Linked DNA regions of Arabidopsis thaliana. The main gene of each other region encodes a partner of the protein of the gene in region 3 in a complex. Each region holds a gene or a part of one and is shown on either strand. Other genes may lie near its edges.

Region 1 (10,770 bases), on a different chromosome or scaffold from region 3:
AATCTGGTGGGAAGTGAATGGTAACAAGAAACACACCTCCGGCAAACGGGCTATCTGCTGGACCCATGATAGTTGCTTGCCATTGGAACATATCATCTCCCGTAGGACCTAATAACATCACCAATTCATTAAAATCTAAATAGCTCATAATGTATCTTAAGGACAAAAAAAAAAACATTCTCCTAAAACTGATTCTGAGGTTAATGCTACATCATCTACTGAATCTATCAAAGTGGTTCTTTAAATTTCACAGTAGATATCATAGATTAAAACACTCACCTGCACTGCAGGACACAGGAGGATCTCTTTGCAAGTCCCTAAGCTCTTTGTTAATTCTTTTCGACGCCATTGAATAGTCCTAGCTTCTGCTAGCTAGGAACAAAATCAAATCAAAAAAATTACTATACTGCTACAAGTACAGATGCAAAAGCAGTACACAGCAAAAACCAGTTAACATATGGAGCAAGAACATAGCTATCCTAAAAGGAAAGACTTTATGCAAATCAGCTTTGATAATTAGCCTAAGATACACCTCCTGAAGAAATCAACCAGAAAAATCTCGAAATCAAACACTCAAGCCCAAGAGACAATCCGATCAGAATTCGATCAAACAGAGAGAAAATCAACGAACAATTCAGAAACAGATCAAGCAATTACGCATCAGTTAAAGGTAAATCATCAGAAGTAGGTACGAGAATATTCTAGAACCAAGATAACAGAAAAAACACATGGATCGACGCAAGGAAACAAAACCGCGAGAGAATCAAACGACGAAGATCAAGAACTGGGAAACGAATAAACCCTAAGAGTAACGATGATTCAAATCGAAATCGAGATTTATCGGAGCTAATTTTGACCTACCTTTTGTTCGGTTTCTAGGGTTTTGGATTTGATGATCTTCGGAAATCTCAAGGGGTTGTTTTGAAGATGAAACTTGTTAGCATCGATACGGTTTATATAGATTCCTCTCTTTCGAGCGGTGAAGCTTTGCCACGTAGCGAGCTAGATTCTGTACTTATGGGCTATAATAAGGCCCAATCGTTTACTGACGGAGCCCATTGACTCTTTTGTCCATAATAAGAAACGTTATGCAAATTTGGAAAAAGAAAATAGAAGAAGGATTAAACAAGAAATTTTCAAAAAAGAAACAGGAAATCAAAAGAAAATGATATTTATTTCAGATTGCAAAGATTTGGTACCTTAAGGGGAAAAGGGAAAAGTGGAAAACTTATCACAATTTTTTTTGACATATGTTCCTTTTGTTCTTAAAAAACTTTCTTATATGAAAAGAAAAACACTTTCTTATATGCAAATAAAATCTATACATTACAAAAATTGTTATGCATTTGCATATTACTAATAAAGTAGTATTTGTGAATGGTAGATTTCATATGTAAGATGTTACTCTTACCAAATTCGATAGGATTTTAAAATTATCTTTTATATAAAGTACATAACAATTTTTGAATAGGCCTTTTTTGTAAAACAGTAAAGGAAAGCTACCTTGCATCACAAGAAACTAGGTTATAAGGGTCACAGGCCATTAAACCGATTGACATATGGGTATACTAACCGATTTACTTAAATATATAGATCTGTTTAAAGTTTAATCAAGTAATCTTTCAATGTTGAAAACAGAGTTGACATGTAATAGAAAATGTCGACTTCCAGTAATAAAAATGTGAAAAATACTCGAGAACAGAACATTTGCTTTACATAATTCCACATATCATATTGAAACAAGCTTTACTTTGACGTTTATGTATCCAAAACATATTATGATTATTATCATTACCAATACCAGACACAAACCATCATCATGATTTAATGTTTTCTTTTTGCTAAAACAACAAATAAACAAAAAACTTAAAAGAAAACTGTTGGAACCCAACTTTCCAGACATAAAAACATAAACAAAAACAAAATCAAAGTCTCGGAGAGAGACAGAGACTCATCAGCTCTTGTGTTTCCGTTGCAATTTTGTCATCTGATCTCTCTCCGGGACAATGATACATAGACTGACAAACACATTTCATAAATCATATATACAACATTTCTACCCCAAGGACAAGAGACAGTACCGTGTCGTCAAGAGTGGTATGGCCTTTTTGTGTCGACTTTTGGATCGGTTTCATATTGCTTTATGATCACAGCCAAACTGTTCGATGGTTTTTACCCTTCTCTTGTTTTGGCTCTCTTCATACCAAGGCTATTGTAAGGAGAAACAGAACCGGACATTGGAGATCCTTCTTCACGAAGAGTTCCATTGAGCAATGCTAGCTCGCGCAGCTGTTGTTTCTTGTACATATCATGGGTTTCCTCCTATAAAACAGAAACCGAGTGTGAAAACTTTGTAACAATAACTGGTTTAAAATCAAAGGGAGGGGGAGAGCTAAAAACAAACCATAGGAGTAAGAAGATCGTCAAGTATTTCCCGAGCTTGCATGAGCCGTGCATCGACTATTTCAATCGGTAATTCTGCTTCCACTAAGATATGAAGTGGTTCATTTAGGTGCTCGTATCCCGGTTTTCCTCTCATCATTTCCTCCTACAAGAAGAAATATATTAACACCTTGTACAAACATTGAAATGTAGATACAAATGAAGTTGTAAAGTTTAATAATAAATACCTTAATTGGATCTTTTATACTTCCTCTTCCTCTTATAAGAACACGGCAATCAGTACTTGCTTCAACTCGCTTCAGGGAGTTTCCTCTAGGACCCAGGAGGCGACCAACAAAATTGAACTGCCATATAGAAAATTAAGGAGTTACATTCCAACCAGGAAGTAGTATATCTCAGTGTAGAAATGAAAGTTCATACATTCGGATAATTGTCGACTGGAATATCGACCCTGATTGTACGCTTGGCGATGAGACCGGACGAACTACCAGGTGAGTTAAGCCAATTTGGTCCCGGAGATGATGGAACAGATCTCTGCAAATGATCAACCAACAAAATTAGAAGCAAGATCAACCTTTAAGCATAAGCACATGAATACTGCAACTTCTTGCCCTGGAACTTCATTCAATGAGAGTGGTCACTGTATCAAGGCATTTCAACCTGTAGCTGTTATATCCTAATAATATGCATACAGTGACCACAGATATATGAGAAAATTATAGCATTAATTTCAATCCTACTCGTGAGGATAGTGGAGTATCTAATTAGTGTTGATCTAAGGTATGAACATACAAACATTACGGATATGAAGTGTTAGCCTACCTGTCATGATAAACTAGGACTAAAAGCAGTCAAATATGTTATGTCAGTATTATAACTTAAGTCAATAAAACTTCTATTGCAGTAGTATGAATTAGAGAGTTATGTTAATGGTTAGTAGTCATACTTCTGATGGAAACTGGGAGGCCCATCCATTCATGTCAGCTCTTGCATTCTGAAATATCCCTCCAGAAGCCAGAGGGCTAGGGTGGTCAAGCCCACTCTGACTTAAAACTGTAGCATTCTCCAACAGTGTGGTTACACGCAAAATTTCTGTTCCAAAAATGTCAATTTGCAAGAGTAAGACGCACCAGTTAGAATTAGTCAACAAATCAGTCACCAAGACACCAATGAATGGAGAGACAGCATAGTTAATTGAGTTAGCTTAAAATATATTTTTGCTCTCACTCTAGTTAAATACACTCTGGTTAAATAGAATGAAGTCAGTATAAGAAATATAGAATTAGTCATTTCGTGATCTACTTCTAATAGCTAACAATTAGGTCTCTCTTAGCAGTACTGTTTAAGAGTTTATCAACTGTATTATAGCTTCATGAATCTGAAGCAAAGAATGAAGTATTATGTGAGATGAAAATACAAATAATAAACAACAAAAACAGTAATGCTCACCTTGGTTTAGTAGCCGAAATGCATGTGGAAGCACAGGCAGGAATGGAGTAAGCTTATGACGCTCTGCAAGTAACTCTGAAAGATACCTGCCAAAACAGAAATTGTGCAGAGTATCCAAATTAGTAAAAAAGCCTCAAAGACACATCAAACTTACAAACAGATACACTCAAATTCACTCTAAATCGATACAACCAGATTCAAATTTCCATTCTTTTGTGAAGTGGATCTAGTCAATCTTCCAAAAATCGTATTTTTTTTAACAGTTTCATCAGCCAAGAACAGAAATCAACAATAACAGAAACGAACACAACCAATGAAATGATCCTCACACACTAAAGACTTATGCTTTACAAAAAATGAACTGGATTGAGACAAATCTGAAATAGACTGAGCTAGTTCCGAAACATAGATCCTAATATAATCAAAAGAAAACAAAAAAGACAAAAATCCAGATTCGAGATACACTATTAAGATCTAAAAATCAAAATCAGCAAAGCAAAGATCAACATACTTCATCAGATACATCAGCTAATTATAAAAGATCACCAAACAATAAAAAACAAAAATATAAAAGAAGATGAAAAACTAAGATTCGATTACTTCTCTTGCTCAACGAAGACAGAAGACTGTGATCGGAGACCACCGGAGTAATTAGGAGACTGAGGAGCAGAAGGAGGCACCGAAAGAGACGACGAATACGTCATAAACCTCCCTCCGCCGCCACCACCAATACCACCACCACTTCCTCCTCCTCCACCACCACCACCACCAAGCGACGACATCATCATCATCTCGAAGACAACAGAATCAGAGTAAATCTGTCGGAGATTAGAAGAAGAAGAAGAAGCGGCGGAGGCAGAACCAAAGCTGTTGTTGTCTCTCTATAACGTCGGTGGATTTAAGAGGTCATTTTATAGAGACTGTGAAATGATTACTTGTTGTTTGCTTAGCTGTTTTTTTTTTCACCTTTTTTCTTTGTTTCATATTTTACCCAATTTTACCGCTCTTCTTGTTAGTTTCTCTCTGAAGACTCTTAACCATCTAGAAGGTTTTTTACATCCGGTTTACTAAAATTCGATTCGGTTTATCTATACCGGAATGACTAAACGCTGCGTTTCAGGAAGCGAAGCTCTGATATTCAGTAGGCCGCGAAGGAAGGTTGAAGAAGAAGAGTTGAGAATTAAAAAATGGAGGAGACGACGATTCCTTTCAAGAGCTTACATAGCAGAGAATATCAAGGTCATAAGAAGAAGGTTTTTTTTTTCTATCTCCAGTCTAATTTTCTGTACTCAATAAAACTTGCGAAACCCTAGTTTTTTGCTGAATCTGGGGGAATTTTTGGATTGAAGGTACATTCAGTAGCTTGGAATTCGAATGGAACAAAGCTTGCTTCGGGTTCTGTTGATCAAACGGCTCGCATTTGGAATATCGAACCACACGGTCATGTAATTTCTTTACCTTTTTGAGCTATGGGAACTTCTATGTGTTTTTGATGATGATGAATACATATGGAGAAGTATTGTAGATTGAGTTAAAACTCGATTATTATCTTTGTCATTGTTACTTTTTGAGTTATGTAGTTTTTGTAATTTGGTTGTTTGTGTGGTGTGTGGATACAGAGCAAGGCTAAGGACCTTGAGCTAAAGGGTCATACTGATAGTGTGGATCAGCTATGTTGGGATCCCAAACATTCAGATCTTGTTGCTACTGCCTCTGGTGATAAAAGCGTTCGTCTTTGGGATGCTCGCAGTAAGTTATATTCTTTTAATCGTTTAGTTTTGCTCCTGAAATATGCCTGGAGCTTGGTTTAGAAATCTGTATATTTTCTAATGGATTAGCTATGTGTCATTCACAAATATTTCTCGCAATCTTGGCCTTTGCTTTTGAGTCATATCGCGGAGACTATTGATTGATGAGGATCGGATCTAAGTTTCTTAGAATTATAAATTAGTTATTTAGCCAGATTCCATAAGAGAGGAATTTGATCAGGTTTTTGATATGTGGCTACTATTGTATGTTTTACTATCAATTGCTGAGATATGTCTTCTTCGAGTTCTACAGGTGGAAAATGCACACAGCAGGTAGAACTTAGTGGAGAGAATATAAACATCACCTACAAACCTGACGGGACACATGTAGCTGTTGGTAATAGGGTATTGTCTCGAGCCCCATATCTTTACACTTTCATTGTTCTTACTGTCTATGGATTACTTGATAGATCCCTTTTCATAGTCGTTGTCCTTTCTCTTACTGGCCAATGTAGGATGATGAGCTTACAATTCTGGATGTCCGTAAGTTTAAACCTCTACACAGGCGCAAATTCAATTATGAGGTAACGTAAGCTCAGACTCATGTTAATCTTTATTAATGGCTTTTTTTTTATAAGGCTCTTCCGTATCTCCTGTTTCAAGCTCATGCGGTTATATGTCACCTAAGTTCCTTGTTCATGTAATAATCGTCAAGTAATTTTCTGGTGCCGTATGGAATGTTCTCTTATCTTTTGTCTTCTTGTAACAGGTTAATGAGATTGCTTGGAACATGCCTGGAGATTTTTTCTTCTTGACTACTGGACTTGGTGAGGATTTTAAATTCTGTACTTTCCTGCACACGATTCCCTACCAAAGATTTCTTTGTTTTTGAACTTGAGAAAATGATCTTACTGAAAGTTACTTTGTATGTTGTCCTGCTCAGGCACTGTTGAAGTTCTTTCATATCCATCTCTTAAACCACTTGACACTCTCACAGCCCACACAGCCGGGTGTTATTGTATTGCAATTGATCCTAAAGGGAGGTAATATATATTTACATTTGTGGGCTGGCCTCTGAGACACGAATGATAATCTTTTTGCTTTTGCATCTAATTCTTCCTCTTTACCTTAACAGATATTTTGCTGTCGGGAGTGCGGATTCCTTAGTAAGCCTTTGGGATATCTCAGACATGCTTTGTTTGAGAACATTTACCAAACTTGAGTGAGTATCAACATGAATTTTCCATAGAGTAGAAAAAGGTTTAATTTCTGTTACATGTTAGTAATTTATAACTATTTCTCACAGGTGGCCAGTCAGAACAATAAGCTTCAACTATTCGGGAGAGTATATTGCTTCAGCCAGTGAAGATTTATTCATTGATATTGTAAGTGATTGCCCAGACTTAAACACTGCTAATTTCAATGTAGTTTCCTCAATATGAGATTAGTTCCTCGTATCTGACCACTAACTACCAAACAGGCTAATGTCCAAACCGGGCGGACGGTGCATCAGATTCCATGTCGGGCAGCCATGAACAGTGTTGAGTGGAATCCCAAATACAATTTACTTGCATATGCAGGTGATGACAAGAATCCCAAGTATAATACTGATGAAGGTACTACCGCGTATTAGTACTTCATTGTTAGCAACAACTCAAAACTCTAATATTGGTAGCAGAAAATGAACAATGACAACAACTTGGATCTCTTTGCAGGTGTTTTCCGGATATTTGGTTTTGAGAGCTCGTAGGAACAGAGCACTGAATCGGGAAACATGATACACAACTCCACTTGATTGTTCCTTGTTGAGTTAGAAAAAGTTTATGTGCCTAGTGTACCTAAATATGTATTGTCAGTATATCAAGTTGGAATAATCTTACAGTATCACTAAATACATTGAAAGTTTGCAGTTCTGAATCTGGCATTTTATTTATTGCAAAAATTTGTTACTATACAAGCAATGTTGTTTATTATTAACGAAGAATGAAATTAATAAGATCAAGATCAGAATTCTAATCCCGAATTACATCAATTTTCTACTATGTGTGAGTACTGCTAAAAGTTACAGGTTGTTCTTATTCCCTCCGGCGAATCTTCAGTCTGGGAGATTTGACAGCTACTCTCTCAAAGCTAGAACAGAGGCCAATGGTAAGATCGGACCAAAAGCATCATCCCCACAATGAAGGTTGAAGAAAGAATGCAGAGTCCTGAGAAAGAAAACACATTTATTACTGAGAGTCCAATTTTGGATTAAAGAACAAGAAGAGCACACGATTTGCTTACCGAACAAACAGTGAATAGGAAGAGTTTGTCAAAATCCGCAGAGGATGAACTTTGAGACCGGGAAGAACAACCCTGCAGAGCAAAGAAGAACAATAGTTATCAAATACTGAGAGAACCAAGTAACAGGTTTCCACTTGATCTCAACGCTTGAACTCTTCATCCTCTTCCCACTCATCGGCTCTTTCGACAAATCAAAGCTCGACCCTTTCATCCTCAACTCCAAAACACACCGTGTAAGCGTTCTATTATCATTCCTCTCCCTATTAACACCTCTGTAAACTTTCCAGAACACAAACAGCTTAGCTTGAACAAGAAACACCAGAACCAATGAAGTAGCTAATGACACTGCAGAAGGTATCCACCATTTCTTGCAAACCGCATTACTTTTCACCACGTCAGCATCATCAGAACAAGAAGAAGAGTAGACAAGTGTGAAGAAGAACCCATGGAAGACTAGGAAGAAACAACAAAGCTGAAAGATCTCTCTTTTGATTGACTCTAGTCTTGATTCTTTAAGAAGAACACGACGACAGAACAAATCTTCTTCTCTTTGCCATAACTTCAAAAGCAACAAATGTCCTGGACTCTCTGAGATTTCAGACAACGGATGCTGCTGAATCACTTTGAGTATTCCCATTCCCGGATTTGAGACCGCAACCAACTGTTGTTGTTGTTGTCTCTCTTTATGCTCTTCATCTACTGGAATCTCCACTACATGAGAATCTTTAGTTCCGGCCATAGAGAAAAAAAAGATTGAGACTTTATGAAGAAACAGAGATCGGAATAGGAAAGCAATTAGAGAGTAAGATGAAGATTGAAGATTTGAGTTCGTTGTGTTTTTTTAGTAAGAATTCCTTTTCTTTCACAAAATTTCAGGTATTTAAATTGTTGTTCTTTAACGGCTATATGTACAACGGTCGGATTGTTTTCTTTTTACGTTATGTTGTTACTGCTGCGATAACATAGTAAGAGACCTTTTCTCACTTTAACGGCTATATTTTCTCCTCCAAAACGCATATAGCCAATATTTGGGCCTTTAATGGGCCGAATGATATGCAATGTGCTTTATAGTTTAACTAGGCCCTATGATTCCATTTTTTTTCTTTTCTTTTCTAAAGTATATGATTCCATTGTTTGCTTTTGTTCCACCACAATTTATAACAAGTGATATATTTATGAATTTTTCTATTACTAAAATAATAGAATAAAGTAACAAATAAGATTCTGTTTTTAATTACTTTCAAAACACATACGCAAGTTATTGGAAATGACATTTTTGGGATTTTGTAGACTTCAACGCAGAAGCCAACATCAAAGGTTTGTAATTTTGTATGTCTGTTATCTATTTATTATACTCAAGATGAAAATAATAAAAACTCTTTATTTACATTTCTTCATTTATTAAAATGCTTTACAAAGCAAAACTTATTAATCTCTGTAAAAACAGAAAGCACCTAATTAATCATACCCAATGTTTAACTACCAATGTGATCGAAAATGAAAATCCAAACAATGAAATCTTAAAGAAAAAGGAAAAAACTTAGAACCAAATAAAAATCAAACCATATGATTGATGAGATCATCAGCTTGTAAATCCCACAAGACATTATCCACATTAAACACATGTTGATGATGATGATGGTTCCTCATCATCGTCATTCCATCTCCTCTTCCTCCTTCAGATCCAATCTCCTCTTGATCAACCACTTCTCCCTTCAGCTTCCTTCTCTCCTCCTCCTCCGCTGCCGCGGTTTCAGCTACCGCGGTACGTATTCCTCCGTGACCCCTCCAAGCTGCAACGGCAGGAGACGCTGATCCATCATTTCTTTCTTCATTCCCAAACGAAGACGAAGAGGATCCATATGAGAATCCATTACCCATGTCCCATAACTTCATTATCCCATTCCCATGGTCCAAACCATCCATCTTTATCTTACCAGCTTCATTATCAGCAATCTCGTGAAAGTTGTTTGGGTTAGGGTTATGGTTTGAAAAGTTGATTTGGTTTAGGTCAACACGTTTCTTGGTGAGCAAGTGAAGCATCTCGTCCTTGAAACAGCCGAGGGCAGCTTCGGCTAGGTGAGAAACCTGAGGAGGATTAAGTGTAGTGGTGATCTCTGCCATTAGATGCGAGAAAGGCTTGTGGGTCACCGGATCTATTCCCATTCCTGACAACTTCTTCTTCAGCTTCGTGTTCCAATAATTTTTCACATCGTTGTCTGTCCGACCAGGAAGTTGCGCCGCAATCAACGACCACCTGAACCATATATGTCAAAAGATTATTAAATGTTTCCCAAGAAAGATGTTAACTGTTGTTTCTCATGAAAAATCCCAGACTATTCATCAGCAATACATCATCAAACTCTATTTATGAGTCGAAAACAAATTTATAGAAAATTAAAAGTTCCCAAAAGTTTAAAACCCTATACTTAGATTTGGTATTATGGTATATAGAACAAAACTTATGTCTTATTCAGTTTCTTGTGTCCCAAGAAACTTGTCAAAAAACTCATAAAAACAATTCATCAGTAAGTCAGCATCAAAATTTCAAAAACTTAGTAAAGAAACCCGATATTTATGAGTCCATCTGTAATTTATACACCTAGATTAAATCTTTTCAAGAAAATCATAAAACCGTAGTTAATTAGATCTAGTGAGTAGTGATCATACCGGTTACCAAGAACAGAGTGAAACTTGACAATGATATGTTCTTCAGCCTCCGAGAACTGGCCATGTTTCAAATCCGGACGCAGATAGTTTGTCCATCGCAGCCTACAACTCTTCCCACATCTTTGCAACCCTATTAAAGACCAAATTTTGTCGATTCATTATATTACATTACAATGATCACTTGACTAAATAAAACATTAAAAAAAATATAGAGAAA
Region 2 (11,898 bases), on a different chromosome or scaffold from region 3:
GGTTCTTAATACCTTGAAGATTTGTCAAACCATATTCGTCTCAACTCTCAAGCCTACCATACAACGCATGTGTGAATAATATTGACTTGTGGATATACACCAACCTTCTTGATACGACCATCGTAATCATAATTTATTTATACAATAAACAAATCAAAAGCATAGACTCGTGGCTTAATATGAAATTAATTATATTACTCTTAACATTATAAGTACACAAAGCTAACGTGACTTACCTTGCAAAACAACTCTTCCACGTTTTGAAGCTTAATTAACGTTGACGATTAAACCACAACCCAAAAAACAAAAATGTCTAGAACCAAAAACTACTTTGTGTTGGATCCGAGAGAAGCCACCGTCTCGGATCTTATACATCTTCTCTTCTCATCGGATCTCGGAGATAGAAAGTTCATCCATTCTTCGGAAGAGAGGATTGAGGATGATCTTTCCAGATTCCGGCGACGGTGGATTATCTTTGTATCCATCGTTATTCAAAAACTCATAATTCTCTTTAAGAAACCTCTCTATTTTGTTGGATTTTCTCTTGCTTGTTGGCTCAACCTTCTTTCTTCCAATGGTGGTTTCTTGATGATACTCCCAAATCTTTTCAAAGGTAAGATTGTCTTTTAAGATATTTTTTTTCTTTTGTATACAAGTTCGAGCTAATGGGTATACGTTCGGTTAATTACACTAAAGGTAAAATTCAACGTCGAAACATTAGAATTTCTTCATTAATTTTGAAATCCCAAATGGGAACAACGAAGATAATATACAAATAATTGATGGTTACTATGAATTATACTAGACAAAACATTAAGGTTGTAAGTTACTCCAAATGGGGTTCTCTGCTTTATCATAATCTTTTAATTAATTGAATTTTGAAACCAAATTTGAGAGATGACCTACAATAAAACTCAATTGGTGACACCAATGCGATTACCTTAATTTTATAACCTTTTTTGTGCGAAATCCGCTGTATGAATATCGTGAGGTAGACCCTAACTTTTAACAAATATATTATTTTGTAACTATTTTAGGAAACATTATTTGGCCGGAAAAAGCATCAGCGACGTTTGCATCACTAAACGGAAACCTAGACCGGCGGGTAGAGTTAAACCCGAAAGTAGAGAGAGGAAGTAAAAGATACAAAGCAATGTTGTCAATTATGGCTTCTAAGCTGTCTTACGAGAATATAAACTTTGTCAGCTCCGTTCTTCACAACCATTGGAAGGTTTTATTCTTTAATCTTTTCCTTGTTGTTTACAACTTTTACATGTTGCTAGAAAACGATAGTAGTTTTGTTTTGCTCATTTAAATTCACGTTCTATCATTAAAATGCATTTTTGGATCAAATTTGTTGAATATGACTGGTAATAAAAATAGATTAAGAAACTGAATTTCTTCGACATTTTATTATAACTTCACCAATCATATATATAAAACACAGTACTCTATATCCGCTGGAAGAAAAAAAAGAGAAATTTTCCTTTCCCGTAACATATTGAAGAAAATAACTTCTGTTAAATTGAATTTCTAGTTTTTCTCCATACTTTTACTATGCTATACACACTAGTCACAGTCAATATAATTTCGTTTGCCTAGTAAATGAAAAATGATTCTTTTTTGTTTGAAAAATTATTTTACTTTTTGTTGTCAATAATATACAATACACGGATTTGAATTTGGAATTTAAGAAATTAATAATATGTACTAGCAAAACTTACATATCATCTTCTATATATAATGTCTATAGATGATAACAATCAATTTTGGGATTAAAAAATAATAATTCTAGAGTCTTTTTCTTTTCTAAATAACATTTTTTTTATTGTTATTTTGTTTTCCTTTGTAAAGTAAAAAAAGAGAAGATTTTCCTCGCTTAAAGTTAGTTACATATAAAGACACGACAACTAATGCATATATAATCTCATTTAGCTGCCATCGTCCAATTATTTAACTTATCTAATAGCATGATCATGCATGATTTCCATTGATTATTAAATCATGAAATAATTGTGTTGGACTTATAATCTCTATGTTTTTATTAAATGTGGCACAGATGGACTTATTAGGTTTCTACAGCTGTTGGAATGGTGAGACTAATTCCCTTTTTTTTTTATATTATTGATGAATAATTAACTTAATGGGTCCGAAGAAGGCAAATACCACGTGAAAACACTGTCTGAAATGTGCAATATATTATTTTTCTTAACTAAAAAGAATTTGATTCCAATAATAATACTCAAATCAATGATAGACCAAAAAACTTTATATTTAGTTCAATTTATATATTGTCTTTCCTAAAAATCAATTTATAAAAAGATTAAATTCTCTTACCTTTTTGCCTCTAAATTAAACATAAAATTACGACTAGAAATTTTATGTTTGTATCTTTTAAATAGTTGTCTATGTGTGCTAAAATATTTAAAATTTTTAGAGACAATAACCTCAAATTCTCTAGAATTTAAATTTTCCTAAAATACTTCATATACAGTTTTTTTTTTCATTTTTTTCATATACAGTTTTAAGATCAAATTCATTTTTCTATTTATATTATATAAACAAAAAAAATTAATTTATTTTTTCTTCCTTGGTTTTTAGGTTACCAGAAACAAAGATCAACGGAGGTGATTGTTATAAAGGACACAAGTACAGATCCAAACCTCATCATCGTTAGTTTCAGAGGCACTGATCCTTTCGATGCCGATGATTGGTGTACAGACCTGGATCTCTCTTGGTAATTTTAGTTTCTTTTGTTATAATTTATTTCCACACACAAACAGTCTAGGTTTTTGTTTTTATACTCTTTAAGTTCATCCTTTAGCCCCCCTAATAAAACTAGTATTGATTTCCAAAATAGGTACGAGGTTAAGAATGTGGGAAAGATTCATGGCGGGTTCATGAAAGCTTTGGGCCTTCAAAAAGAAGGATGGCCTAAAGAAGTAAACCTTGACGAAACCCAAAACGCAACAACTCTATATGCATACTACACTGTTAGGCGTCACTTAAAAGAAATCCTCGACCAAAACCCGACATCTAAATTTATATTGACCGGACATAGCCTAGGTGGGGCTTTAGCGATCCTATTCACGGCTGTTTTGGTGATGCATGATGAGGAGCAAATGCTAGAGAGACTAGAAGGAGTTTACACATTTGGACAGCCACGCGTAGGCGACGAGGAGTTTGGAAATTTCATGAAAGATTCACTAAAGAAGTTTGACGTGAAGTATGAAAGATATGTTTATTGCAACGACATGGTTCCTAGGTTGCCTTTCGACGACAAAACACTCATGTTTAAACACTTTGGGGCATGCCTTTACTATGACAGTTTCTATAAAGGAAAGGTTGGTTGCATATATATGACAATCTTGTTTCTTTGCTTTAATCACTCATCCGTCTAATGTCGCTTACGCACTTACCCTACTGATGATATCTATCTACATTGTTGTTGTTTAATTTGTATTATGTTCAGGTAGAGGAAGAGGAACCAAACAAAAACTACTTTAATCTCGTATGGGTTTTACCAAAGATAATGAATGCACTGTGGGAGTTGATACGTAGTTTCGTCATGCCTTATTGGAAAGGTGGAGAGTTCAGAGAAGGATGGTTCTTAAGGTGTTTTAGGGTTGTTGCATTGTTGATTCCTGGATTACCTGCTCACTTCCCTAATGAGTACATCAATGTTACTCTTTTAGGTGACTTACCTGACTCGCATCTTGATTAAATTTTGACGAAGTCATAAATTCTTTTGAAAAGTTGATGTGTTTAGCTTTTCTAGGGTCTCGTTTCGGTGATGTAGGTGTTATTTTCTTATTTTGGCCTTAGATCATCCTTTCTTTCTCGCAATGATTCTACGTCTCACTTTATCTTTATCTGCATCAAGAAAAGAAATGCATAAATATTTCAATAAATACTTAGTGAAACGATTCTCTTACCTGCGAGTTATACACACAAGCAAACCAATATAACAATCAACAAATAAATCATGAAATAAATCAAACCAATGAACAATCATCCATTGACACAACCATCTCGGGGGATTGAATAATGGTACCAAAAATACTGCCTATACATACAACAAATAAATCACACAATCTCAATTGCTTAGATAATCTCATGGTCACATACCCACCTCGAAACAAGAATGATTTTGAAACCAAAAACAACAATCCCACAACGAGCAGTAACTTCCTACTCACCAACAATATCTCAACTCACCATACATCCAACTACAACAGCAAACCAACCTTTAACCTAAATTGGAAAAAATCTGAAAATAACCCAAACAATTGGTCTCAAATATTGAGTCACGAATCGCAATCTAACCGTCCAATTCAAATCTCCACCGTTGAAACTCAACCCTCAAGATGTCCTGAAGCTAACCTCAAAGTTTAGTGATGATCTGACCGCAGGTGCACTCGAGATAATTTGTTTAATACACTCTGGTCTAAATCACGTCTGAAACAGAGGACTTTACGAAAACACAGATAACTTTTAGAATATTAACTCAAATCCAAATCCGCAAAGTGGTAAATCTAGTTATAAGGCTTAGCTACAACTCAATAAAATTTCCGTACCATAGAAGGCTATTTGATTGATCAAACCTCTGTTCTACCACGACATATCTGATATGTCTCTCTCTTCCTTCACCAAAATTATCAAGTAGTTTCCTTTTTGGTGTTTTTTACATAATATTTTTGATATCAAACCAAATTTTTTCTTGTCTTTATACAGAATTTTCTGAAAAAAAATGTTACATAATCTCTTTTACGCAATTATCATCCCATCATGGAGTAGATATAATATTTGTAACAAAATATAGTTTACATAAAAATCATAAATAGTTTGACAAAAAAACAAAGAACAAAAAAAAAGAAGAAGAGAAAAATCATAAATCCTGTCAGAAGTACCGGAGCGAGCCTGACTGGAGAAATCGAGAATGGAGGACGGCGAAATAGAGGAAGGAATGGTAACTGCCGACGAATTCCCGACGCCGGAAGTAACTACCATAGAGACTATACAACCTCCCCGAGAGCCAGGAAAATCTCCACTCGAGCTACTTCGAGAGAGCAAAACCTCCGTAGAAGAAATCGTCGCGAAGATGCTCTCCATGAAAAAACAAGGAAACCACAAATCTGAGATTCGAGAACTCCTCACTCAAATGTTCCTCAACTTCGTCAATCTTCGTCAGGTACTTACCAATCTTCTCCCTCCACCTCTTTCGCTATACGATACTTATTAGGGTTTTTTTCGCAGGCGAATCGGGCGATTTTGACTGAGGAAGATAAAGTGAAAGCGGAGACGGAAAGAGCAAAGGCACCTGTTGATTTCACGACATTGCAATTGCATAATCTTATGTATGAGAAGAGCCATTACGTTAAAGCTATCAAGGCTTGTAGAGATTTCAAATCTAAGTATCCTGATATTGACCTTGTTCCTGAACAAGACTTCTTTCGTCATGCTCCTGAAGCTATCAAAGATCAATCGCTTTCAAGTGATAGTTCTCATGTTTTGATGCCTAAGAGACTCAATTTTGAGCTTCATCAGGTTGGTTAATCATCACCATCTCTGAAATTCATTCAACGTGATATAATGTTTCATTACCTTTTTATGTTTTTTGATTCAGAGGAAAGAATTGTGTAAGCATCGAGCGAGATTGGAGCAACAGAAGAAGAGTTTATTAGAAACCATTGCGGAGCGTAAGAAGTTTTTGTCGAGTCTTCCTCTACACCTTAAGTCTCTGAAGAAAGCATCGCTTCCAGTACAGAACCACTTGGGTATACAGCACACAAAGAAACTGAAGCAGCATAATTTAGCTGAGCTGCTTCCTCCTCCGCTTTATGTTCTATACTCACAGCTCTTGGCACAAAAGGAAGCTTTTGAGGAGAGTATTGAATTGGAGGTAGTTGGGAGTCTTAAGGATGCTCAAGCTTATGCTAGACAACAATCCAGAAAGGACTCAGGTAAGTTGTTTTGAAAATTTACTGTGTTTTCTAATACTAAAACGAAAAGAATGCTAATTTGGTATTGGTTTTTCAGGTATGTCGAGTAATACAGAGAGTTCTAGGTTGGAGGATGATGGACCTGATGACGATGATGATGGACAAAGGAGAAGAAAACGACCCAAGAAACTTACTAGCAAAGAAGGTTCTGACAAGGCAGGATTATATCAAGTCCACCCTCTCAAAATTGTCCTTCACATATATGATGATGAGATACCAGATACAAAATCCTTGAAACTTGTCATTCTCAAGTTTGAGTACTTGCTGAAGTTGAATGTTGTATGTGTTGGCGCTGAAGGCTCTCAGGATGGACCAGAAAAAAACATATTTTGTAACTTGTTTCCAGATGACGCTGGACTTGAGCCTCCTCATCAGGTAACTTTTTGTTTCTGTGTTTCAGTTTTCTTCTACATGTGACTTTTGATGGCTTTACTTTTAAAAATGCATACTCAATTCTCTTTATATGGCCGGTTTTCCATGCAGTCAACCAAGCTCATCCTTGGTGATGGTCAGACGTTTGATGAGAACAGAACTTCAAGGCCTTATAAATGGGTACAACATTTGGCGGGAATTGATATTTCACCGGTTTTATTAGGCCAAGAAGCTCATAACACTGACCCAGCTAAAAGTGATACGTTTGTGCCTGATCTTTCATTGTATCGCCAGCAGCATAGAGTGCAAACAGTTCTGCGAAGAATACGCTTGCGGAAAAAAGCGCATCTGGCTCTTGCGTGAGTTCACCACTCTGTATGTTTTCCGTCTTAATTAAAGAACACGATGCAAAGAATTCCAGAAAATTAGTAGACCACCATGATAATCAGCATATGGTTTGTACATTTAATAGTTTGGGTTTGTCAATAACTTGGCGGTCAATTTAATCCCTCTGTAGCATTGTCAACTTCGTGATAAGAGCTTCTATAGGTAATTATTTCTGTTGATATGTTTATTTTTGCTGAATACTTTGGAAACTTCTACTGGCTACAGGGAACAGCTTGATTTGCTTATGAAACATGAGTTACCAGTGGTGAACTGCGAAGATGCTCCTTGGGCACTGCATAAGGTTCTCTGTGCTTTGGATTCCTGGTTACATATACAATCTTCAGCTAGTAAGTCATGCTCTCTGACTCTGAACAGTGTGGAACAAGTTCCAGAACCTATGGAAATCGATGTAGATGGAAGATCTATTTCTGGAAAAGAAGATTTTGAAAGTATACGGGAAGATGGAGAACTTCCCTCTTTGGTCACGGCGGCTGCTTCGTTAACCAGTTCCAATCATACCCCATCGAAAGTATCTAATCAAGCACGGTCAAGGCAGTTGGCCTTGATGACAAAGAATCTAGATTCTCCGATTAGCAAAGGAAAGTCCCCAAGTTTCAAGAAATACGAAGATGATTTGGATCTTGTTCTGGACGATGATAGTGAAATAGATGAGCCAACCGGAAGAACTGAGGCGCATGTGGAAGAGTTATGCCCTGAGAAAGCTGATAATTCATGGGTGGATTATGGTTCGAGAGAGTTTGCGCTTGTGTTCTCCAGGAAAACAGATGGCGGAAAGTTGTGGAAGTTAGAAGCAATGGTAACTTCTAAAACACTATCTTCTAATACGGTATCTTCCCTATATCTTTTTCTTTCTTAAGTGTTAAATCGAGTTGTATTGGCAGGTACAAATTAGCATGGAGTATCCTCTTCGACCTCCTTTGTTTTCTCTGTCTCTCCACGCATCTTCTTCATCAGGAAATGAAAATGGGACAAATGAAAGTGACCATTACAATGAACTTCGAGCAATGGAAGCAGAAGTAAGTGTCAAACCCAGTAACATATACTAATCTTTACTCGATGACACCAAAGATAACGCCTTTGTAACCTTTTCGTGGCGGTATCAGGTGAACCTTCATATGTTGAAGATTATTCCTTCAGATCAAGAAAACTATCTCCTATCTCATCAAATCAGATGCTTAGCAATGTTGTTCGACTATTACGTGGATGACCCATCTCCAGATTCCAAAAGAGGAACAGCCACAACTGTGGTTGATGTCGGTTTGTGCAAGCCTGTTGACGGTAAGCTTCTTGTGAGATCATTCAGAGGCAGAGATCACCGGAAAATGATCTCATGGAAGGGCAGAGGATGTGCATCGGGTTATCCATGCTAGAGATTACATCGCCACTCACTTCTCTATATTATCTTTCTCTGGTGGTACAAGCAAAAGTTTTTGCATGTAACATTTTTTTATCGTATAAACCGTTATTGAAACAGCCTACTTGTTGGGTGAGGACCTGGTCTGTTTTAAACCTGGCAATGTTTCAAGTCCAATCCGTTTTAGCCTGCTCTGTTTTGGTCTCGATTTAAGCATTAAAGCCTAGCGGGTAGCTTGGAAACTAGAAAAGTGAAAAAGGGCTCGTCACAGGTTTTGGAGAAAAAAAAAGGAATCAACTCGTAGACAACCGTTATTACAGGTTGCTACTGCAATCATTGACAAATGTTGTTCCTGCAATTGGAGGTAGTGAAGAAAACAAAACCAAATCAAATTGGATATTAGTTTATAACTTTCAAGTGATTATATAGTTTGATTTACTTTAACTTTTAGTTTTTTTGTCATCTTATTTAAGTACAATTACCAAGGAAATATGCAAGTTTGAATTACAAGAGCGGGCGGAAAATAAATACATCCCAAAAACTTAATCCAAAAGAAGGAAGCGAATCCCTAAATTACAGGAAAACTGTCAAACGTAAATTTTTACATATCAAAAAGACAAAGCAAAATCAAAGGCATGAACGAAGACCTAAGAGGAACCACGATTTGCTAAATTCACTCCCATGTCCCAGGAAGAACAAAGCCAACCACAAAAGACAGTGAAATTTTTCGTGTTTTGTTGCAAATGAATCAACACTGAATTTTTTTGATTTATTATAGGAGTTATTTTTGTATATTGCAAATGAATCAATAGTGAAAAAATTTAGCAGCAATTATTGAGCCTATAATATAATTTTATAGTTTTATGGTTGAGATTAGTATGACATTGTTTTCTAAAGCCAAAATAATAATATTTAATAGTAGTATTTTCTGGCTCCAATAAAAATAAGTTTTGGATTTTCCCCTAGACCATGAGAATTCGATCTTTAGGACATTATCAAATGGGTTTAAGAATAAGATGTCTAATAAATAGCTTATTTGGTCAAAAATATACGAAAACAAAACATGATGAACAAAATAAACTCATCATCATCCTCCAACTCGGGTTTCATTGATTCACTTGATGTCCGATTTCGTTCTCCTCAGCTTTCTCTCCGGTCGTTCATGAAGGCTAATCATTCCCTTCACGTATTATTTAGATATACAAAAAGTTAGAACAAGGTTCTCAAGTTTTTAATTGATGTACGGTTGAGGAAATAAGATTGGAATAAATAGATTACTGGTTCCATTTGTCTTTTCCGCAACTCTACATGTTGTTTTAGTAGCTCTTCATAATCTTTCTTTAAGTTTTCAAGTTCAACTTCAACCTCCATAGTTTGAGCCTAGAGAGCAAAAATGAGCAGTTTGGTACTTATAAAACACAATCAATCAAGATGGATAGATAATATATATATATATATATAACATTTTCTTACTTGCTTTCGAGCCCGTGATCTCGCTGCGGATTCTCGGTTCTTAATCTTTCTCCTAAGCTTTTTGTCAACGAATTGTTTTTCCGCGGTAATTTCACTATTAATCTTCCCACCTCTTGTACTAGTACTACCATTACTAATGTATGGAGATGGTGAGAGTAATGAAGACTCACCGTTAATCTTTTGTTTCCCATTTAATGTTGGAAATGGGGTAACCGGTGAACATGTTATGGCTTCACTTGGAATTGTCGCAACACTTGGGACCAAGCTTCTCTTCGTATCTTGGAGACTTTGGTTACCAGATCCCAAGGAACCATTTGAGAATCGGATTTGTTTTCCATAAGAATAACCATTTGGCATAGACATGATAGATTGTTGTGGTTGATATGTTGACATAGATCCATTCACATTTTGATGCAAATAAGAATCATGACTCCTTGGAACCATATTGTTCATAAAATCAGAAACCATGGCTTTTGGCTGAATCTGAACACCCAAACTAGTGTGTGGATTACCGGAAATCGATGACGATGAGTCATGAATGGAGCCACCATTGGTATTACCTCCTCTTGCTCCAGCACGGATGAAAAACTCTTCAAGAGTGATTTCCCCTAAGGTTTGTTGTCCCTGAAGATGAGTAATGTTTGTTACTCCTCCATTGTTATTGGTGTGTTTTTCCTCTGTGATAGATTTCCAAACTTCACCAACATTTTGTTTGCTAAGTGTTGGAGGCAGAGTAGTTGAGCCTTGCCTCTGCGACCCCTCTTGTGTTTCTTCAGCACTTGATATATGCTTAACCAACTCATCCATGTTCATTGATCCACAATCTAACCCTAAGCTGGTCTGAAACTGATCTACTGTCCATGAGTATATTGATCCTTGTCGGCTTAAAGAAGTACTAACTGGCAAATCATTCACCAAGTTTTTAAGTCTCCAGTAACTATCCATTTCACCTGACACAAATCCGAGTGATTAGTGGCCTTAGAAAACAGTTGTTGAAATGTAAGAGCTTTTGAGGTTAAAAATCATGCAAAACAGAGGAAAGGAGAAATTTTAAAACAGAGGGAGAGAGAAATGATCAAGAAAAATATTCATTTTGTTTCTCATAAGTTTTTTTTTTTTTTGGATTAAAAGTTTCTCATAAGTTTCAGTGAACCAAAAGAGTAATTGAATATATAAGAAAACTAATGTATGGCAATTAACCCAAAATAAAATAAAATAATAAATCTAAGCTGAGTTAAGCACATTATCCAAATGAAGTAAGAAAAATCTAGAATAAAAGGGATCTAATAAAACAACAATTTGTATAAATAAAAAACACTATATAAGGAGCAAATAATTTATTTTACCTTTCTCACTTAGTGTATCTATCTAGTAATTGAAAGTTAACTTTTTAAATATAAGAAAGATCTAGATGAGTTGATAATTTTAAATATATTTTTTTACATTTTTGTATAGATATTTTTCATAAGTATTTATTTATATTTAAATTAATTTAATTAAATAATAAAATTTTAAAATGATTAGATTATTAATAAAAATTACACAATGCTGTTGTAAACAACATGCATTATTGCATTATGTAGATTTGAACGTCGGTAACTATCCAAAGATAATATTTATAAAATTAGTAAATTGATATGATGTATTTCATGGTAATTAATCTACTGAATCAAAATCGCACCACACAAATGAATTCATGGAAAACTATCCTTTTGACTTGATAATAGGTTAGCGGGTGGTTCTCTTTTTAGAAATTTAGACCATGAATGGCTTTAATTTGTAACTTTAACTGATGTTTGGCTTTTGGTTTACATATTTTCTTGTTTTTTTTTTTGGAGTTTTTGTTAATGATACAATAACTAAGGAAAAGAAGATAAAAAGGGTGGACTATAGGTTTTTTATAGGTGGTGTTGCACGATAAAATATTTTAAATTTTTATAAAATTTACTAAAGAATTTGAACTCAAAATGATGTATATTATAAAATACTATGAAAAAATATAAAAACATAAGATTAAAATTATCTGCTAAAGGTGAAATCAAAGTTTATGACACAGAGACATGACTCTAATAGATTGAGACAACCTTGAAAATATGTTTTTAACCATAACTAATATAAGATACATTTACGAAGAATATGGTAAATGGACGTAACCCTCAAAAGCATTTAACGAGACTATATTAGCAGTAGAACAACATCATAGTGAAAGATGTGATCCTAATTGAAAACATATCGAATGAAGAGTTATAATGATTAAGAAAACGTTTGACAAAAAGTCAAAAAGAAAAG
Region 3 (10,510 bases):
GATTTTCCTATGGCCTTAATGAATTAGTTAAATTGAAACACAAACATGTTAGTTAATAATAGATAATGTCTAAAAGTATTGTTGACTAATAAAAAAAGCCAAATGAATTCAACATTACAAATTATTAGTGATCCAAAAAAAACTAACAAAAACCAAAATTTAAGATATAACAAATTTTTTTGCAAGTATATTAATTTAATTCCGGACGAGACAATTTGGAAGAACTGATTTGAACATAACAAAATAACAGCAGCCCTTAGGCAAATGCATGTACATTAAGTTTAACTATAAATGACCTTTAGCGGACTAGATTTTAACATAATGAGTTTATAAAGAAGAAGAAGAAGAAGAAGATGAGATCGTTAAGACATTCGAGTTTCTGAAAAGATGACTGTAAGTCAGATCAAATTTCCAATTGCTCATGGATCTGTTATGACTTTCTCTAATCGTGCTCATTATTCCGGTTGAGAACGGGAATGGAGCGAAGAATGATGAGGCTGAATCCCAAAGAACATTGTAAAATCTCTCTTTTAGTGTTCTTGAATCTCGGAAAATAATTAGGTTTAGGTTTTCATATTTTTAGTTGATTTTGGTAGGTACCCGTTTTGTTACTGGAACCTCAGTGGTAACTATCAAGTACAAAGATTAGATTTTAATGGCTTCTGATATGGGAGGTATAATGCTCTCTACCTAGTTTCAGCTCTCTAGTTATCTTGTATATGATTGATACTCTTTGTTACTTTCTTGGTAGATAAAGCATGCATGCTTCATTGTTCAAAAGAGTGCTTGCTAATTTGCTATATAGATAAAAGATCCAGATTCTGGATGTGTAAAATTTATATGATGTTGTAATTCACTTGTAGAACAAGTGTATCTTTTAATAATCAGAAAATATTGTGTGGTCGTCAGATACACAACGACGTCTCTTTATGATTCTACGTCAGAAATTAACTGAAAGCATTGCAGTGATTTAATGATCAAAGTCAATGTTTTAGATCACGTGATTTGGTCGAAGATCATAAAAATCAAAAACCAAAGGAACGAAACTTGATTACTGTCTATTTCTGTTGTCGTTTGTGTCAACTAATACTTGTACTCGTTGCTCTATTTGTTTATTATATCTGTTACTGTTAGAAGGACCAAAAGATGTAATTAAAATTTTTAATTCGATATTTGCCTAATTGCCTTGTTGGTAATATCGTGGTGGAGTCAAAGATCATCTGAGCCCATGGACTAGTTCAATAACAACCATTTCATAGTTTAACGCCCACTCAAACAAAATCATACGACTAAACCGGACATGGTTTTGTATTGAAATTGTATACAACATAATTTCTTCTATTTTATGCTGAAACAAAAGTCGACAGAAAAACAAAATCGGTCTGTAGTAGAAAAAGGAAAGAAAAAGACTTTTTTTTTTTTGTCTATTTATCACCCAACAAATGATGTTATCAACTCCGTGGTGATCTCAAAAAAGCATCCTGTTATTTCAACTGGGAATGTTGGTGGACCTAATTCATGCTTGCTCAAGCCTTGCAAACTGTTCCAAGATCCACGCGAAAATGAACAAGAACATGATGATCGAGGAGTTCGGAGCTAGGGAAGAACAGTTGTCTTAAAGAGGACGTTTCTTGTTTCCTAATTCTCTATCTTATGGAAGCATCCTAATTATGATTTGTCTTTGTGTTGTGTGTTAATTGGTGTCTTTTCTAAATTGTTCTTTGTTTGTTTTAATTTTCTTTCTATATTCCTAGGAATGGATTTGTTTCGGGTGACACTGTTGGGCTAAAACAGACACGGTTTTGTCTCTTGCACTTAACATAATTATACTGTTTGATTTCTAATCAGATTTAATACAAAAAAATTAAAAAAGACGACACACTGTCTGTTTGTCTGGATCGGAAAAGTAGTTTGTATTCGTTTTCCATATAATGGATACATATTTGATTTGCTATAAATTATAACCCTAGGTTATGAAGATTTTTTTTTTTTTTTAGGTTACGAAGAATGTTGACGTAAATTGTAAAGACAACAAAAATAGTATTTTCATCAACATTACTTAGTTTTATTCCATGCATGATGGAACTTTGGTTGAGGATTTCTATTTCTCACAAGGTAAATTCCATCATTTCTAGCAATCTAACGACGTAGAGCATCACATCGATCAATGTTGGCTGCTCTATATGCTACAAAATCTTTATAATATCGCATGTATAAGCCGTGTTTCAAAAGACAAGTCCATCTTGTCCTTCTTCCAAACATGTCTCCGAAACGGATTTGTTTTAGTTCCTTGAATTGTAAATTTGCGACGTCTAAATTGTCGTCTTTTGAATGACGATGATACTAGAGAACCAAACCGGGACCAAGATCATTCATAATTTCAATTGTGTTACGTTTACAAGACAAAACTGATACAAGCAATCCAAAATACGTCGCAACAACTAACATAAAAATTATAAAACGATTCATTTTTCGGGTAATATGAAACTCCAATTTGAATTTAATGACACCAAAGTACAGTATCTATAGTTATTTCGTGTGGTTAGTATTTGACGATTTTCCTATGGCCTTAATAAATTAGTTAAACTGAAACACAAACATGTAGTTAATAATAGATAATGTCGGAAAGTCTGGTTGACTAATAAAAAAAAACAAATGAATTCAACATTACAAATTATAAGTGATCCAAAAAACCTAACAAAAACCAAAATGTTTAATATATAACAAAAATTCTTCTAAGCATATTCTTTAATTCTAGACGAGGCAATTTGGAAGCACTGATTTGAACATAACAAAATAACAGCAGCCCTCGCGCCAATACAGGCACATTAAGTTTAACTATAAATGACTTTTAGCGGATTAGATTTTAACATAATGAGTTTATAAACAGGCCAGACCTAAAACAAATAGCTTTCGAATAACGTTGGTCAAACCGACCCGTTTTCTTTTGTTGTTGTTTCTTGAGCAAAGGAGGACGAGGAGGAGAAGAAGGAGAAGATGACTGTAAGTTGGATCAACTTTTCAATTGCTTATGGATCTTTTCTGACTTTCTTTGATCGTTTTTTTGTCCCGAGTAGTTAACGATTCTGGTTGAAAACGGGAATGGAGCGAAGAACGCTGAGAAATTTTTTAGGTTTTGGTTTCCATATTTTAGTTAATTTGGTATGTTACTAGCTAGTACTTGTACTCGTTGCTTTCTATTTGTTTATATCTGTTAGGACCAAAAGATGTAATTAACATTTTTAATTCGATATTTGCCTAATTGCCTTGTTAGTAGTATCGTGGTGGACTCAAAGATCATCTGAGCCCATGGGCTTGTTCAATAACAACCAATTCATAGTTTCACGCCCATTCAAAACAAAATCATACGACTTAACCGGACCCGGTTTTGTATTGAAATTGTATACAACATAATTTGCTGAAACAAAAGACGACAGAAAAACAAAATCGGTAAGTAGTAGAAAAAGGAAAAGAATAGTCCCCTCTTCTGCAAAATCAAAAACATATTTGCATCATCTTCACACCGTCATCATCATCGTCTTCAATTTACTTCCACCAAATCAAATAATCTCTCAAAAACCCTAATTTCTCTTTTTCTTCTCTGATCAAAATTGTTCGTTCCTCTCCCTTTTCATCTTATCGGAATGCTTATTTTCTGGTCGCCAATCGAAGTCTAAACCCTATTTTCTTAATCTTCTAGGGTTTCGAAAAGGGAGGAGAGTGAAAGATATACATACATACACACGAAAGGGGTTTAAGATGTCTCTTCCGCTACTGGAGTGTAAGTACGTGACGGAGGAGTTTGTTCGTGAAGGTAAGAATGGCAACTATGGAACCAAGCTGCCCAGCTCTGTGCCGATGCTTCGTTTCCTCTACGAGCTCTCTTGGATTTTGGTATACACACAAACACCACCTTCTCTTCCTACTACTATCCAATCACGCGTATATGTTGTTCGAGTTCCTCAACGGTGCCTCGTGATGGATTATTAGGTTCGTGGCGAATTGCCAATTCAGAGCTGTAAGGCAGTGTTGGAAGGTGTGGAGTTTTTGGATAAGCCATCGAGAGAAGAATTAGCTTCGTGTTTTGCGGATGTTGTGACTCAGATAGCTCAAGACGTAAGTCCAATTACAGTTTTGACATCCTTAGCTCAGAGATGATTGTGCAAGGTTATTGATACTGATCGTTGGATTGATTGGGTTCGTGTTCTCTTTGCTTTGTTTTGCAGCTTACCATGTCGGGAGATCAACGTTCTCGTCTAATCAAATTGGTGAGTGCTAGAATTTATTTTACGTTTTGAAAATTGATCATTGTTTGGATTTGTTAGTCTTGAGGAAAGATAATTCTAGCTCTTTAGATATTAGTGATCACAAAAAGTAACATCCTATGAATAGATTAGGCATGTGGTGTATAGCTATCAGTAGTGTCCTAAGGTTCAACCAACCGATGGCTCATCCTGGGCAGGTTGCAAGAAAGTTCCTGATTGTAAAAGGCTACTTCATCCTAAGGAGCTGAAACTTTGACCATAGTGCCTTAGATGATCTATTAGCGTAGTTTGGTATTGAATTTTCCTTGTATGCTTGATCCAATGTTCTCTGATGAGCTGCTTACAGAGGAGTTGTTAGCATATGTCTTATTTTATTGAATTTGATGATTGCGTACTTTAGTTTCTTCCTTAAAATATTCTTTCTGTTCTCATTTACCATCTCCTCAAGGTTTCTATGCTCACAGCTAATGAACCAATTGTTCTTTTTTGGTAGGCGAAATGGCTTGTGGAATCACAGACAGTCCCTCAAAGGCTTTTCCAAGAGCGTTGCGAGGTAAACATTATGTTACGTTCAGCCAATGAAACAGAGTAATACGTAGAGAATCTTTATATTAATAGAACTTAAAACAAGAAAATACAGCTTTGAGAGGTTTCTTAATAGAGTCCCCTCTTATCCCCCCTTCCACCTTTCACTAGTTCTCGATAACTCCCTCACTGGTACCCCTCATCTATATAGCATGTGCATCATGCAATCCTACTGCCCATCATAGAAACCGTAGCTTGAACAAGTCTGGAGTGATAGATAGAGACTGCTAAATAATAGTTATTGTAGCTGCTAAGGTAGTTATAGAAGTTAACTTCAAGGCTGTAGCCTGTTTCGAATGTCACATTAATCCCTTAAGACTGAAGAATTGTCCTCAAAGATCCAGTGGACCAGCTGGTCTCACGGAATAGCCCTCTTCTTCTTGCTGTAGATGTAAAGGATAGGAGCGGGCAAGTCCTAAAATGTTTGTTATTATTCCCAATTTGAGTAGTTTGTACCCCACCCACTTAACCTCTCTATTTTCTTGATCAGTAAGAAGAAAATTTTCTGAAGGCGTTTTATTTATTTTATTTTAGGAGGAGTTTCTCTGGGAAGCTGATATGGTTAAAATAAAGGCCCAAGATTTGAAGGGGAAAGAGGTGAGGACTTCACACTTCTGTAACTGCTGTATTAATATGACTTCACACTTTAGTCATCAATGCAGCTGCACTGTGCTCTGATTTACGTAATAGTTACTCTGAGTGAATTGCTATTGCGAAAGATTAATGCTTATAAGAATTTCTACTTTACCTGTGTAACTACTGCTCATTGTTTATAAGTAACAATTCTGGTTGATGCTTCTCAGGTGCGATTAAACACTCGTCTTCTGTACCAGCAGACAAAGTTCAACTTACTCCGTGAAGAAAGCGAGGGATATGCCAAATTGGTTCGTTATAGAAGATCTCTAGCAGTCTAGTTTTTTTTTTTTTTTTTTTTTTTATCTATTGTCATTCTTTCTGTCCACTTCGTTTCTATTGTCTTTTCTTAGATACTCTTTACTTCTGTTTTTTCTGAAACACAACTTTAAGGAATACCCCTTTAGTTTTTGGAAGGGATGATCTTTTCAACAATGCTGATTTGGCCTTTCCTTTTCACACGGTTCCAGTTGGAAGGCATATCTTCTGCTAGTTTTATTACCTATAACTGTGCAGAGTAATGAACATATTATCTCAGTAGAGATTCGATTAAGTCAGATTATACATACACCAACTTATAGCAGTTCCTTTTTGTGGAGTGCAGGCCACTCTTTTGTGCCGAGGATCTGCAAGTTCTTCGCACAATGCATCAGCAGCAACGATGGGAATTATCAAGGTTTTGATTCGGCCAATACATTATATTTCGCCCATTTACTTTTTCTGAACTTTATATTTTCTTGCAGTCATTAATTGGGCATTTTGACCTGGATCCAAACCGTGTTTTCGACATTGTAAGTTTTCACTGTTGCTTCTGTCATATTTTTGTTTGATATTGCATAACGCATCAATCTGTCCTTCCCGATTAGTAATAATGTACCCTTTGTTTTTGATGAATAGGTTTTAGATTGCTTTGAACTCGAACAAGATTACGACACATTTCTCAATCTAATTCCTATCTTTCCCAAGGTTTGGAATGTCTTCCTCGTATTTTTATCTTCTAATGCTTAGCTCAAGAGACTATTTTTTGCTAAAAAAAATAATTTTCATGTGCAGTCTCATGCTTCACAAATTCTTGGATTTAAATTCCAATACTATCAGAGACTAGAGGTGAATAGCCCTGTTCCAGTTGGGCTCTATAAGCTTACAGCCTTGCTAGTAAAGGAAGAGTTTATCAATCTTGAAAGCATGTGAGTAGTTTTTTCTTCAACTGTTTTTTCCGCCCTTTCCTTTCTTGCTTTCAAGGTCTTTGGAGCCTCTCGGGAATATTCAAAATCGAGCATTATGTGTAGCCTTAAGAAAGTATACTGGTTTTATCTTTTGTCGTAGACTGAAGTCTCCTTACTAATTGGATACTTGTAGGTAGTCTTCTTCATGACGATTTCTTTTCTTTTCATTATGTGAGAATAAGGTTATACTTGCACACTGGTTTTTATCCTTTTTTGCAGACTGAAGTCTTCTTTCTAATTGGATTCTTGTACATGTCTTCTTCATAACGAGTTTTTTTTTTCATTGAGAATAGGACTAGATCAGTTGGAATGTAAATGAAAGATTCTCTTCTCTTCTGCACCTGTCTCTTGTTTCTAGTTGTTTGGTATCAATTTTAAGTTTGTTTCTTACTGTACTCTGAAAGTTACTTTTTTACTTTGAGATTGCTCTTAAGGAGGACTAGCTAGTAGACTTAATTTATTTTCTCGTGAGCAACTCACTCAATTCATTAACTTATTTCATCAGTGTACTGATTCGGTGATTACTAGATTGCTACATTTCTTTGTGCCTCTAACAAGTGAAATCATACTGAATGTATGGACCCAATATTCTTATACTTTTTTGCCTGGCTGTTGTGAACAGATATGCACATCTGCTACCTAAGGACGAGGAAGTTTTTGAGGATTATAATGTTTCTTCTGCAAAGCGGTTTGAAGAGGTACAGTTCAATATATGACCTCGTCCTTATGCTTAGAGATGTTTTAAGATAGTTTTGTTCTGGCCTACCGTAAGTTGTCTATATGTTTCTTATGTGTTAAAACCTTTTTTTCCCTTGAGACAAACGAACAAACATGGTTTCTCTGCTCTTGTGGTAATCTGCTAATCTTGCCTTCATAAATTTAATAAATACTTAGATACTAAGCACTTCTCCATCTTCCTGGAAGCCAGCCAATTATTTTTTGTTTTTTGTTTTTTACTTTCATAGATTTATTCATGAGTTATTATTTTTACAAGTCCTTCCTTTTATACAGGCCAATAAAATTGGAAAGATTAATCTCGCTGCTACTGGGAAGGATCTTATGGAAGATGAGAAGCAAGGAGATGTCACAGTAGATCTCTTTGCTGCTTTAGACATGGAAAGTGAAGCTGTTACTGAGCGATTACCAGAGCTTGAAAATAATCAGACTCTGGGCCTACTTAATGGTTTCCTCTCTGTGGACGATTGGTATGAACACCGAATCATATCTTTTTACTTAACAAATCCACTGTCGTCAAACCAGTCCATTTGGTTAACAGGTTTCTTGAACCAGTGCATGTTAAATTTTAAGTTTTATTATTCTTCATGAGCATGAGATTTCTTCGTGGAGTACTCTATATATGATTGTTATTTTTTTGATAATTGCATCACCTTCTGTAACTTGAAAATTGAACTTGAGGGCATATTGGATGACTGTTACTGGTGTCTTCTGCCGAATTCACATCTCAGGATCCATACTATCCTAGAAAATTTGTTTACATACAAAGCTATTTTGTATATTTAACTTATATTAAAAGCTTGCTAATTAATCTTCCCCTTTCTGCTCAACTGAGGTGAAAGCTCTTTTTCTTATTATTTTTATATTAACTCACTTCTTTTCAGGTATCATGCAAATATCTTGTTCGAGCGTCTTGCACCTCTTAATCCAGTGGCACACGATCAGATCTGTAGTGGGTTGTTTAGGTTAGTGAGTAATCCTTTAGCGCAAACTATTCTGCACCAGATTTATAGCGGCTTCATTTCTTTGCATCTTCAGCTCTATGTATCCAAAGAGATACTGCAGCTCTGGCCACTAATCTATGATGACAACAATGATTTTTTTGGTCTATGTTTTCAGGCTTATAGAGAAGTCAATCACTCATTCTTATCGCATTGCTCGTCAGACACGTTTTCAAAGTTCTTCTTCTGCGAGCACAGTTAAGCTCACACCCACTGCTAATACGACAGCTAATAGGACTTATCTAGATCTTCCGAAAGAAGTGTTTCAAATGCTTGTTACTGTTGGACCCTACCTCTACCGCAATACACAATTGTTGCAGAAGGTGCGCTGACCTTTAAAATATTGAATGTTCTATACAAAATTAAAGATTGAAGCTGATATATATTTATCACGGTGGCAGATTTGTAGAGTATTAAGGGCTTACTACTTGTCGGCCTTGGATCTTGTTCGCGATGGGTCAAATCAAGAAGGTAGTGCATATGAAGTTTCTCGTGGGCACCTGAAAGAAGTTAGGTTGAGAGTGGAAGAAGCTCTAGGAACATGTCTTCTGCCATCGTTACAGTTAGTACCTGCAAATCCAGCAGTTGGTCATGAGATTTGGGAAGTGATGAGTCTCCTTCCATATGAGGTTGACTTGCTACTGTTTATTTGTTCCAAATATCTTTGTGTAGAATGTGATTTTCAATATTACTGATTAATTTCGTATTTAGGCTCGTTATCGCTTATATGGTGAGTGGGAAAAGGACGATGAGCAGAATCCTTTGTTGTTGGCAGCAAGGCAAGTGGCAAAGGTATAGTAGTATGACTCCTTTGATTCTCATATAATACAAATGGAAAGATACATCCTCCAGATCCTCATGAGACTACTCTCGTATGTCAGTTGGATACTAGAAGAATTCTGAAACGGCTTGCAAAAGAAAATCTGAAGCAGTTAGGAAGGATGGTGGCAAAACTAGCTCATGCCAATCCCATGACGGTGCTTCGGACAATTGTAAATCAGGTGTCGATCTACTACAAACTGTTGCGTTGCTTCTATTTTGTAATTGAATTGTTCTGACGGGGCTAACTGTCATGTTCTTGTTACACAGATTGAAGCATACAGAGATATGATTGCTCCTGTTGTGGATGCCTTCAAGTACTTGACACAGGTCCGTGACCCCTTTTCTTTTGTCTTTTTTGTATGATATGCTCATTTCACCTTATGCCCTTACTCTCCCAGGTTTTTGTCCATTTGGTCGAAAAAATGCAATTTTGATGAGATAGATGGATGGGACTTTTGAGTGATTATGATTTGGCTTTGTAGGTTTTCTACTGATACATGTTACACATTCAGTCTAGCATTCACTCTGGGGTAGGTTTAAATGTGGGATATGGAGATTTGTTGGTTTGGTTGAGCTTAGGCAATAATGAAGTAATAGTCATTAAAAATTAGGATGCAATCAGATTGATCCGAATATTCTAAGAGGTTTTTCAATAAATGTTTATATTTATCGTTCTAGCAACAATCTTTTGTTTGCTAAGTTACCTGAAGTCAGCTTTCCTTGTCAACTTATTGTTGTTTTTGAGATGTTTCTGCCTCTGTTATGCACGCTCTGATTCTTTCTAAATTATTCCTGATGCACAGCTTGAGTATGATATCCTGGAATATGTAGTGATTGAGAGACTGGCACAAAGCGGACGAGATAAACTTAAAGACGACGGGATTAATTTATCAGACTGGCTTCAATCTTTGGCATCCTTTTGGGGTCACCTGTATGTGTTCTTCTTTGGAAACATTAATACATGCTATAAATAGTTTCAGTACTTATTTAGAAAGATTAATTGCGTACAGCAGGCATATTTCTGTTATGCCGAGGATAGAAAGAAAAATGCAGTATTGTTTTAGTGTAAAACTGTTTAAAGAGTGAACTTGTATTTCTGATGTTTAAAACCATTGTGGTTACTTGGTGAATTTGTTAGTACCCTTCCATCTTCTATGTTGACTTTAAGTGTTCATTCTCTTGAAGACGTGTTGTTGTAAGATTTTGGTTGGTCAATTTTGGATTGCCTTTGTGTTTTGATTTT

Evidence for each region.
Region 1: THO2 (region 3) and TEX1 share a complex: the UniProt entries of both Arabidopsis thaliana proteins name them as parts of the THO complex.
Region 2: THO2 (region 3) and THO5 share a complex: the UniProt entries of both Arabidopsis thaliana proteins name them as parts of the THO complex.

What each region holds. Positions count from the first base shown.
Region 1 is NC_003076.8:22,719,335-22,730,104, reverse strand, and holds TEX1 (Transducin/WD40 repeat-like superfamily protein), read left to right. Parts: upstream 1-5,005; 5' UTR 5,006-5,039; coding exon 5,040-5,105; intron 5,106-5,201; coding exon 5,202-5,297; intron 5,298-5,471; coding exon 5,472-5,601; intron 5,602-5,913; coding exon 5,914-6,005; intron 6,006-6,115; coding exon 6,116-6,184; intron 6,185-6,369; coding exon 6,370-6,427; intron 6,428-6,543; coding exon 6,544-6,643; intron 6,644-6,735; coding exon 6,736-6,822; intron 6,823-6,906; coding exon 6,907-6,985; intron 6,986-7,080; coding exon 7,081-7,216; intron 7,217-7,315; coding exon 7,316-7,350; 3' UTR 7,351-7,623; downstream 7,624-10,770. Other genes in the region: UBC30 (ubiquitin-conjugating enzyme 30), read right to left, coding at 1-108, 280-349; AT5G56140 (RNA-binding KH domain-containing protein), read right to left, coding at 2,173-2,322, 2,405-2,548, 2,631-2,747, 2,824-2,937, 3,350-3,495, 3,853-3,938, 4,453-4,643; AT5G56120 (RNA polymerase II elongation factor), read right to left, coding at 7,912-8,622; MYB80 (myb domain protein 103), read right to left, coding at 9,441-10,140, 10,554-10,683. UniProt on the Arabidopsis thaliana protein: Acts as a component of the THO subcomplex of the TREX complex which is thought to couple mRNA transcription, processing and nuclear export. Contributes to the integrity of the endogenous trans-acting small interfering RNA (ta-siRNA) pathway.
Region 2 is NC_003076.8:17,202,564-17,214,461, reverse strand, and holds THO5 (THO complex, subunit 5), read left to right. Parts: upstream 1-4,811; 5' UTR 4,812-4,939; coding exon 4,940-5,191; exon of another isoform or gene 5,192-5,256; coding exon 5,257-5,547; intron 5,548-5,626; coding exon 5,627-5,963; intron 5,964-6,039; coding exon 6,040-6,377; intron 6,378-6,485; coding exon 6,486-6,733; intron 6,734-6,986; coding exon 6,987-7,578; intron 7,579-7,663; coding exon 7,664-7,798; intron 7,799-7,885; coding exon 7,886-8,152; 3' UTR 8,153-8,491; downstream 8,492-11,898. Other genes in the region: AT5G42930 (alpha/beta-Hydrolases superfamily protein), read left to right, coding at 310-613, 1,038-1,231, 2,060-2,093, 2,602-2,737, 2,861-3,344, 3,473-3,724; AT5G42910 (Basic-leucine zipper (bZIP) transcription factor family protein), read right to left, coding at 9,251-9,316, 9,415-9,516, 9,610-10,554. UniProt on the Arabidopsis thaliana protein: Acts as a component of the THO subcomplex of the TREX complex which is thought to couple mRNA transcription, processing and nuclear export.
Region 3 is NC_003070.9:8,738,451-8,748,960, forward strand, and holds the start of THO2 (THO2), read left to right. Parts: upstream 1-3,489; 5' UTR 3,490-3,613; exon of another isoform or gene 3,614-3,700; 5' UTR 3,701-3,759; coding exon 3,760-3,894; exon of another isoform or gene 3,895-3,990; coding exon 3,991-4,116; intron 4,117-4,226; coding exon 4,227-4,268; intron 4,269-4,758; coding exon 4,759-4,818; intron 4,819-5,384; coding exon 5,385-5,447; intron 5,448-5,653; coding exon 5,654-5,734; intron 5,735-5,787; exon of another isoform or gene 5,788-6,000; intron 6,001-6,087; coding exon 6,088-6,159; intron 6,160-6,226; coding exon 6,227-6,274; intron 6,275-6,380; coding exon 6,381-6,449; intron 6,450-6,536; coding exon 6,537-6,670; intron 6,671-7,331; coding exon 7,332-7,407; intron 7,408-7,720; coding exon 7,721-7,914; intron 7,915-8,328; coding exon 8,329-8,409; intron 8,410-8,563; coding exon 8,564-8,768; intron 8,769-8,846; coding exon 8,847-9,074; intron 9,075-9,156; coding exon 9,157-9,237; intron 9,238-9,326; coding exon 9,327-9,446; intron 9,447-9,534; and 4 more. UniProt on the Arabidopsis thaliana protein: Acts as a component of the THO subcomplex of the TREX complex which is thought to couple mRNA transcription, processing and nuclear export.